2 linked regions of the Macaca mulatta genome follow. The protein of the gene in region 1 interacts with the protein of each later gene in a pairwise test. Links are inferred from orthologs where the notes say so. Each region holds a gene or a part of one and is shown in the gene's direction. Other genes may lie near its edges.

The links.
Region 2: the proteins of TSKS (region 1) and TSSK2 interact in binary tests that used the Homo sapiens proteins (3 or more experiments, as listed by UniProt). The link is inferred for Macaca mulatta from reciprocal best matches to the Homo sapiens genes TSKS and TSSK2.

What each region holds. Positions count from the first base shown.
Region 1 is NC_133424.1:62,204,898-62,208,397, reverse strand, and holds part of TSKS (testis-specific serine kinase substrate), read left to right. Parts: intron 1-603; exon of another isoform or gene 604-624; coding exon 625-720; exon of another isoform or gene 721-925; coding exon 926-1,009; intron 1,010-1,919; coding exon 1,920-2,003; intron 2,004-2,196; exon of another isoform or gene 2,197-2,385; intron 2,386-2,597; coding exon 2,598-2,890; intron 2,891-3,500. UniProt on the Homo sapiens protein: May play a role in testicular physiology, most probably in the process of spermatogenesis or spermatid development.
Region 2 is NC_133415.1:33,587,768-33,591,935, reverse strand, and holds the start of TSSK2 (testis-specific serine/threonine-protein kinase 2), read left to right. Parts: upstream 1-1,368; 5' UTR 1,369-1,774; intron 1,775-1,949; coding exon of another isoform or gene 1,950-2,028; exon of another isoform or gene 2,029-2,259; intron 2,260-4,168. Other genes in the region: DGCR2 (integral membrane protein DGCR2/IDD), read right to left, coding at 1,950-2,028.

The sequences.
Region 1 (3,500 bases):
TGTGGACCCCAAGGACTTTTTTTTTTTTTTTAAGAGACTTGCTCTGTCACCCAGACTGGAGTGTGGTGGTGCAATCTCAGCTCACTGCAGCCCCTGTTTCCCAGGTCGAAGCAATTCTCCAGCCTCAGCCTCCCAAGTAGCTGGGATTAAAGGCATGCACCACCATGCCCGGCTAATTTTTGTATTTTTAGTAGAGTTGGGGTTTCACCATGTTGGCTAAGTTGGTCTTGAACTCCTGACCTCAAGTGATCTACCCACCTCGGTCTCCCAAAGTGCTGGGATGACCAGAGTGAGCCACGGCACCTGGCCCCCAAAGACATTTAGCTCAGTGTTTGGTTGAGTTCATCCTTCTTCCTCCACGTGTCTGCACACCCCACCTCCATCCCCTATTCCCTCCTGGATCCTATTTTTCTCCCAGCCCACCATGAAGAAAGGTCATTTATCCCCTGGGTTTGCTGCACAGGAATGCTAAGAATCAGAGGTATAGCTCTTGGCTCCAAGTCACACAGCCATTCCAGGGCAAAATCAAGGTGTAAACACAGCCTCCCAGTTCTGGAATTTTTCTTGGGCTTGGGGCTTGCACCCACACACCATATAACTCACCTGTCTCCCATTCTTCCCCAGAGTGGGGTCAACAGTGGATTGGTCCGCGCCAAAGACTCCATCACCAGCTTGAAGGAAAAGACCACCCGGGTTAACCAGCACGTGCAGACTCTGCAGGTGTGAGGACACCCTATGTCCAACACCTGCCCTTTCTCCAGGGCTAACTTCCCTGCTTGGAGCCTGCCTCCAGTGGAACACACCCATAGCTCAGTTGGGGAGCTTGAGACTCAGAAGGGAGAGGAACCTTCCCAGGCCCAGATATTCTTTTCCACAGGCTGTCCCCTTGTGTCCTTGGCTAACCTCTCCTCCTTCCATGCTCCAGAGTGAGTGTTCTGTGCTGAGCGAGAATCTGGAGAGAAGGCGGCAAGAGGCAGAAGAGTTGGAGGGGTACTGCATTCAACTCAAGGTGAGCCAGTGGGATGCAGGAGTGGGTGGGGAGAGGGGAATGGGAATAAGAGGGTGGAAGAAAGAGGGGAGGAGGCTGGGTGCAGTGGCTCACATCTGTAATCCCAGCACTTCAGGAGGCCGAGGCGGGCAGATCGCCTGAGGTCAGGAGTTTGAGACCAGCCTGGCCAACATGGTGAAACCCCATCTCTACTAAAAATACAAAAACTAGCCAGGTGTGGTGGCGCACACCTGTAATCCCAGCTACTCGGCTTAGGGAGGAGAATCACTTGAATCCAGGAGGTGGAGGTTGCAGTGAGCCAAGATTGCACCACTGTACTCCAGCCTGGGTGCTGGAGCAATACAGTCTCAAAAGAAAAAAAAAAGAAAGAGGGGAAGAATGGAGTGGGTGGATCAACAAGAGGTGGGAGGAAGTGGAGGGGTACCACTCTGGCACGTCTGGCTAAGGAGGAAGCCATCCCTTTAGCCAAGGAAATGAGCTGGTGAGTGTGTCTTTTTTTTTTTTTTTTGAGACGGAGTCTCTCTCTGTCGCCCAGGCTGGAGTGCAGTGGCCGGATCTCAGCTTACTGCAAGCTCCGCCTCCCGGGTCTAGGCCATTCTCCTGCCTCAGCCTCCAGTGTAGCTGGGACTACAGGCGCCCGCCACCTTGCCCGGCTAGTTTTTTGTATTTTTTAGTAGAGACGGGGTTTCACCATGTTAGCCAGGATGGTCTCGATCTCCTGACCTCGTGATCTGCCCGTCTTGGCCTCCCAAAGTGCTGGGATTACAGGCTTGAGCCACCGCGCCTGGCCGAGTGTGTCTTGTATTGAGGGGCTGGGAGGCCTGGAGCCTGTATGGAAATAGACAGGCTAAGGGTTGGGAGGCAGAACTGAAATGGGAAGGCAGGGCCCTCGCCCTGGTGTCTGACCCAGGAGAACTGCTGGAAGGTGACCCGGTCTGTGGAAGATGCTGAAATCAAAACCAACGTCTTGAAGCAGAATTCTGCCTTGCTGGAGGTAAGGAATGGAGGAGGTCCCAGGATTTGTGGGAGGACGTCAGATGCGCGAGGGACTCAAGATACACTTTTAGGTGGAACTCCCCGCCCCAACACCACCACCACACTGCTCCTGCGTGCACACAGTCATCCTTAGAACCCACTGATAAGAGGGATTCAAATGAGGCTCCAACACCCAGCTGGGGGACTCTTACCCTGCAGTCACATTCAGGTCCCAGAAAGAGACTCGAGCTGGACTTCAAGTGAGAAGGCCTGTCCTGTCCACATGCCCACTCATTTTCCAACAAAATGCTGAGAAAGCTTCAGTTGTTCTTGCCAAGTGGCCGGGACTGGTATTTGACGCCTGGAAGGCTTGGAGGGCCGGGTGGATACCTGGAGGCAGGCTGTGGGAGGTTAGCGGGAATTGGAGTCCAACTGGGCCTCAAATGGTGCCTCCCCTCCCTAATGACAGCCAGTGGGACTTCCAACATCCTGTCCCCACAGGCGTTCTACTTCCAATCTTGGGGAGTACTGGAGCGGATTTGGGGGTAGAGGTGGTTGTGGGAGGAAAGCGGCTGGACGCTGTGACCCCGTCCCGTCCTCCCTTACCGACCAGGAGAAGCTGCGCTACCTCCAGCAGCAGCTGCAGGATGAGACGCCGCGACGGCAGGAGACCGAGCAGCAGGAGCCGGAGCAGCAGCAGAAGCCGGAGGCTGGCCTCTCCCGGAACGGCCTGGGCCCCGCCGCCACGTCCCAGGGCTGCCCCGGCCCGCCAGGGAGTCCTGACAAACCCTCGCGGCCTCGCGGCCTGGTCCCCGCAGGCTGGGGAATGGGGCCTCGGGCAGGTGAGGGCCCCTACGTGAGCGAGCAGGAATTGCAGAAGGTGTTCACCGGCATCGAGGAGCTGAGGTGGGCGGGACCTAGGGGCGGGGCCTCGAAACGAGGTGGGCGGGGACTCAGGGGTGGAGCCTCGAGGAGCTGCGGTGGGCGGGACCCAAGGGACGGGGTTCTCAAGGAAAGGCATGGGTGGGGATCCAGGGAGCCTCGTGGAGCTGAGGTGGGCGGTGATATCCGTGGAGCCTCGAGAACCTGAGGTGGGAGGGGACATGGGAGGAGCCTCGAGGAACGAAGGTGGGCAGAGTCGTGGGCAGAGTCTCCAGGAGCTGCAGTGGGCGGGGACACAGGGTAGGAGCCTCAAAGATTCTAACCGGAGGACGACAAGCCTGGGGTCTCCAAGAGCAGAGGAGGGAGTGCCCCGAAGGCAGTGACCTGAGCAAGGGAGGGACAAAATAATGAATTTTTGAGTTCTGGGCTGCTGGGAGGCAGGTCCAGGCCTGGTGAAACTGAGGTGGGCGGGGCTTGGGAGAGGAGCGGTCCTGGAGGCACCAAGTGGGGCAGAGTAGGGTGGACAGTGCCTTGGGGGGCAGTGTGTGGAAGAGCTGAGGTAGAGGTTGGGGACCTGACCAGGGAAGGGCCAAGACAGCCAGTAAAGTAAGGGGATAAAGGCGGGGCTCTGGAA
Region 2 (4,168 bases), on another chromosome or scaffold:
TCAGGGAACCCACCAGGCAGGAGTCAGAAAACACACTCCTGAGAAGTGGGCTTTGACTGGTACCTTCCTCATACCCAAGTATGCTTTTAAGGCCGGGATCCCCACAGAAAGAACACCGACTAAGACCAGAGAAGCCCCAGCCTCTTGAAAGCACCAGCTAGGCAGATCCTTGCAGCACTCTCTCAGGAAGGACATAGGGTGAATGTGTGAAGAGGCACACGCGGGCATACAAGGAACACATCAGGCCCAGAGGCCTGCCCTCACTGCCCAGCCAAAGCCAGGGAGCCAACTGCAGCTCCCAGGTTCTGCACGGCAACTCAAGACGCCTCCAGGGGTAGCTGCAATGTTCTCATCTGGAGAGTCATGGAATCGAAAAGAATGTTTGTTCCCTCTACCAGAGCTACCCCACCCATGCCCTACTGAGACCTCAGTCTCAGTGTGAGGTCTCCTGTGACGCCCCCCTGCTTTACCTCCCGGGTTCACGCCATTCTCCTGCCTCAGCCTCCCCAGCACCTGGGACTATAGGTGCCTGCCACCACGCCCGGTTAATTTTTTGTATTTTTAGTAGAGACGGGGTTTCAACGGGTTAGCCAGGATGGTCTCGATCCCCTGACCTCGTGATCCACCCGCCTCGGCCTCCCAAAGTGCTGGGATTACAGGCGTGAGCCACCGCGCCCGGCCCTGGCTTCTGTTCTTACCAAGGCCACCCCACTACCAGTCATCCCGCTGCCCAGAGAGCAGCCAAAAGCAGTGAGCAACTAGCTCTGCATGGGGAGACCAGAGAAGCATCACTGAATCTGTCCAGGTTGAGCATGGGTCAGGGCCTTGGCCACCAGGTAGGCACCAGGGAGGAGGCAGACATTCCATACAGATGACACAAGCGCAGAGCCAAGAGGTGCGGTGTATCTGGGCTGGGAGCCTGGCTAGGACAGAGGAGAGGGCCACACACCCCGTGCTCCCACACCCAGGTCATCAGAGAAGACGGCCCTGGCACTTCTGCCTTCATGGGACCTTTCCTCCACTAAGAAATATTAAGAGTCATGCTTTTTCACTGTATTGGCATAAAGAAAACTGTATTAATATACATAAGAAAACATTTCCTTTGACCAGAAGTTGTTTTTTCCTGCTGACTTAAAAAATGAAATAAAATAACATTCACAGGCCACTAAAAGTACCGTGGGCCAGTGATATCAGAATTCCTGTGCCTGATGGATACATCGGTCCTGGGGCAGTTCAAGGGAAGGAGAGGTACACTGAAATAGGTAGAAAAGGGTCTCCTAGGAGGTTGCCCGGGTTCTGATTCCCCACCACAGACTTAAGAACACACTAGCTCCTAGGGGAGTTCCAAAGCCTGGACTCATTCATCACATACACGCAGCACGCCTAAGGGCCCCGCACAGTGGCGAGGTCTCCGCTCGCGGGACGCTGGCGCCGGCCACACAACGCTAGGCTGACTCCTGGTGCCTCCTCTGGACCGGGTGTGAGCTGAGGACTTCTTCAGTGCAACGTCTCACTGAATGACAGTCTGCCACAGCCACCAATGTCCAGGCGAGGAGTTTCCAGGACTGAGAGGCTGGCACTAGGCCACTGCTGGGAGGACTTCTGCGAAACCAGGTGCCCCCGAGAGCCGCTGTCCCCAGCCCGACTCCGACGCTGGGCTGGCGGGAGGGCGCGCCCGTGGCGTAGCTCCTGGCCGCCGCCGCTCCCAGGAAGGGCCCAGAGGCAACATCCCGGACAGCACAGCTGCACGAAGTCCGAGGCGCCGCGAGCCCAGGTAAGCTCCAGCAGGCGTCCGCAGAGAGTGCCAGGCGGCCCGCGAGCCAGGCCCCGCCCGCCCCTGCCCCAGGCGCGGCCCCTGCAGAAGGGCGCCGCGGGTGAAAGGAGGTCCTGGGGCGACCCCGGCCCCGCTCGCCGCCCCGCCCCCACACCGCCCCCATCGCGCGGCGCACCTGGCCGCAGCGGCTCGGTGACAGTGAGCACGAGCAGGAAGAGCAGTAGGAAGACGCCGCTGTCTGCCTTGGGCACCATTTATCCTCCGTTCATCGTCCCCGGGGCGGCTGCGTGACCCCGCTGGGAGGCCGGACCGAGCCGGACTGAGGGTCAGGGGACCGTGCCAAGCGGAGGGTCAGGCGGGGCTGGACCTGGGCGAGGCGCGGAGAGGCGGCGGGAAAGAGCTTCGGCTGGGCCGCGGGCTGGCGCGCACTCTCGGCGGCAGCCTCAGGCTCCGACTCCAGCTCCGCGCAAGATGGCTGCCGTCCTGCTCGGCTCCGCGCCGCGCCGCCCCGCCTCCCGCCCTCGACGCCGGCGCGGGCCAATGAACGCCAAGGCAGGGGGCGGGGCCAGAGCCACAGAACTTCCCCCCGAAGGGGGTGAAGCCTAAGGTCACGACGGCGGTGGGCGGGGACCTAAGGGCGGTGACTGAGGGGCGGGCTCTAAGGGAAGGGCGGGACCATACGGAGTTTAGGCGTGCCATTGGTTAAGCAGAGAGGCAGAGCCGGGGCTGGGGCCTGAGCGACGCGGCCTCGGAAGGGAGTAGGGTCTCTGGACGCGGGGTAGGGGCGGCGGGCGGGGGACCACAAGGACAGACATCGAAAGGCGCGGGGCATGGGGCTGGGCGCCGTGGGGTCGCGCGGGTGGGGAGCGGAGAGGACGAAGCGGGAACCTGGCTGAGACTCCAAGGGTCTTAACACCTGCAAGCTCAGGTCCCGTGAGCAGCCCAAAAGTGCGCCCCAAAGGGGTCTTTTTAAGGCCGAACCGCTGTGGAGGAGGGAGGGCCTGCCGGTTCTAAGGGTGGGGAAAGAGGGTCACCCTGTAAGGAACAGGAATGGCCTAAGGGAGTGTCAGGCAAAGAGATACTGGGAAGGCCAGATCCTGGAGACTGCAGCGAAGCCGGCTCCCTGGAGGACCTCCCTGCACAATGGCGAAGGGAAGGCCACATGTGCAGGAAGGAAAGCTAGGCAAAGAGGAGGCTCAGCGCCCCTGCGAACAGTGCTCCAAGTGCCACCTCTCACCTGTCATCACCAACAGGGTGAACCTTGGAGGGCAGTGTTGGCAAAAAGAGTCCAGCTCTGTAAAATATTTGAAGACATTTCTTCTGAGCCAATATGTGACCAATAGCCTGGGACACAGCCCCAGGAGATCCTGCAAGTGTCCACGGGGGTAGGGCTACAGCTTGGTTTTATACATTTTAGGGAGACAAGACATCAGTCATGTAAGGTATACAGTGGTTCAGTCGGAAAAGGCGGGACAACTTGAAAGTGGGGGTGGAGGGGGCTTCCAGGTCATGCGGATTGGCAGCTGGTTCAAAGAGTTTATCTAAAGACGTGGAATCAATAAAAGGGACTGTCTGGATTAAGGGATTGTGGAGACCAAGCTTCTTAGACAGATGAAGCTTCCAGGTATCAGGCTTCACAGAGAAGAAACTGTTAATGTTTCTTATTAAAAAGTGCTAGACTCGGCCGGGCGCAGTGGCTTACACTTGTAATCCCAGCACTTTGGGAGGCCGAGGTGGGCGGATCACGAGGTCAGGAGATCGAGACCATCCTGGCTAACACCGTGAAACCCCGTCTCTATTAAAAATGCAAAAAATTAGCCGGGCGTGGTGGCGGGCGCCTGTAGTCCCAGCTACTCGGGAGGCTGAGGCAGGAGAATGGCGTAAACCCAGGAAACAGAGGTTGCAGTGAGCTGAGATTGTGCCACTGCACTCCAGCCTGGGCGACAGAGCAAGGCTCCATCTCAAAAAAAAAAAAAAAAAAAAAGTGCCAGACTCCTGGGCACAGTGACTCACGCCTGTAACCCCAGCACTTTGAGATGCCAAGGTGGGCAGATCACTTGAAGTCAGGAGTTCAAGATCAGCCTGGCCAACACGGTGAAACCACGTCTCTACCAAAACTACAAAAGTTATCCAGGCATGGTGGCGCACGCCTGTAATCCCAGCTACTCAGGAGGCTGATAGCAGGAGAATCACTTGAACCAGGGAGGCAGAGGTTGCGGTGAGCCAAGATCACGCCACTGCACTCCAGCCTGGGCAACAGAGCAAGACTCTGTCTCAAAAAAAAAAAAAATTAAAAAAGGAAAAATAAATAAAAGGTGCCAGACTCTAGTTAATTCTCTCAGGAGAAAAGACCTTGAAAGGGATGGGGATTCTCTACAGAATGTAGATTTTCCC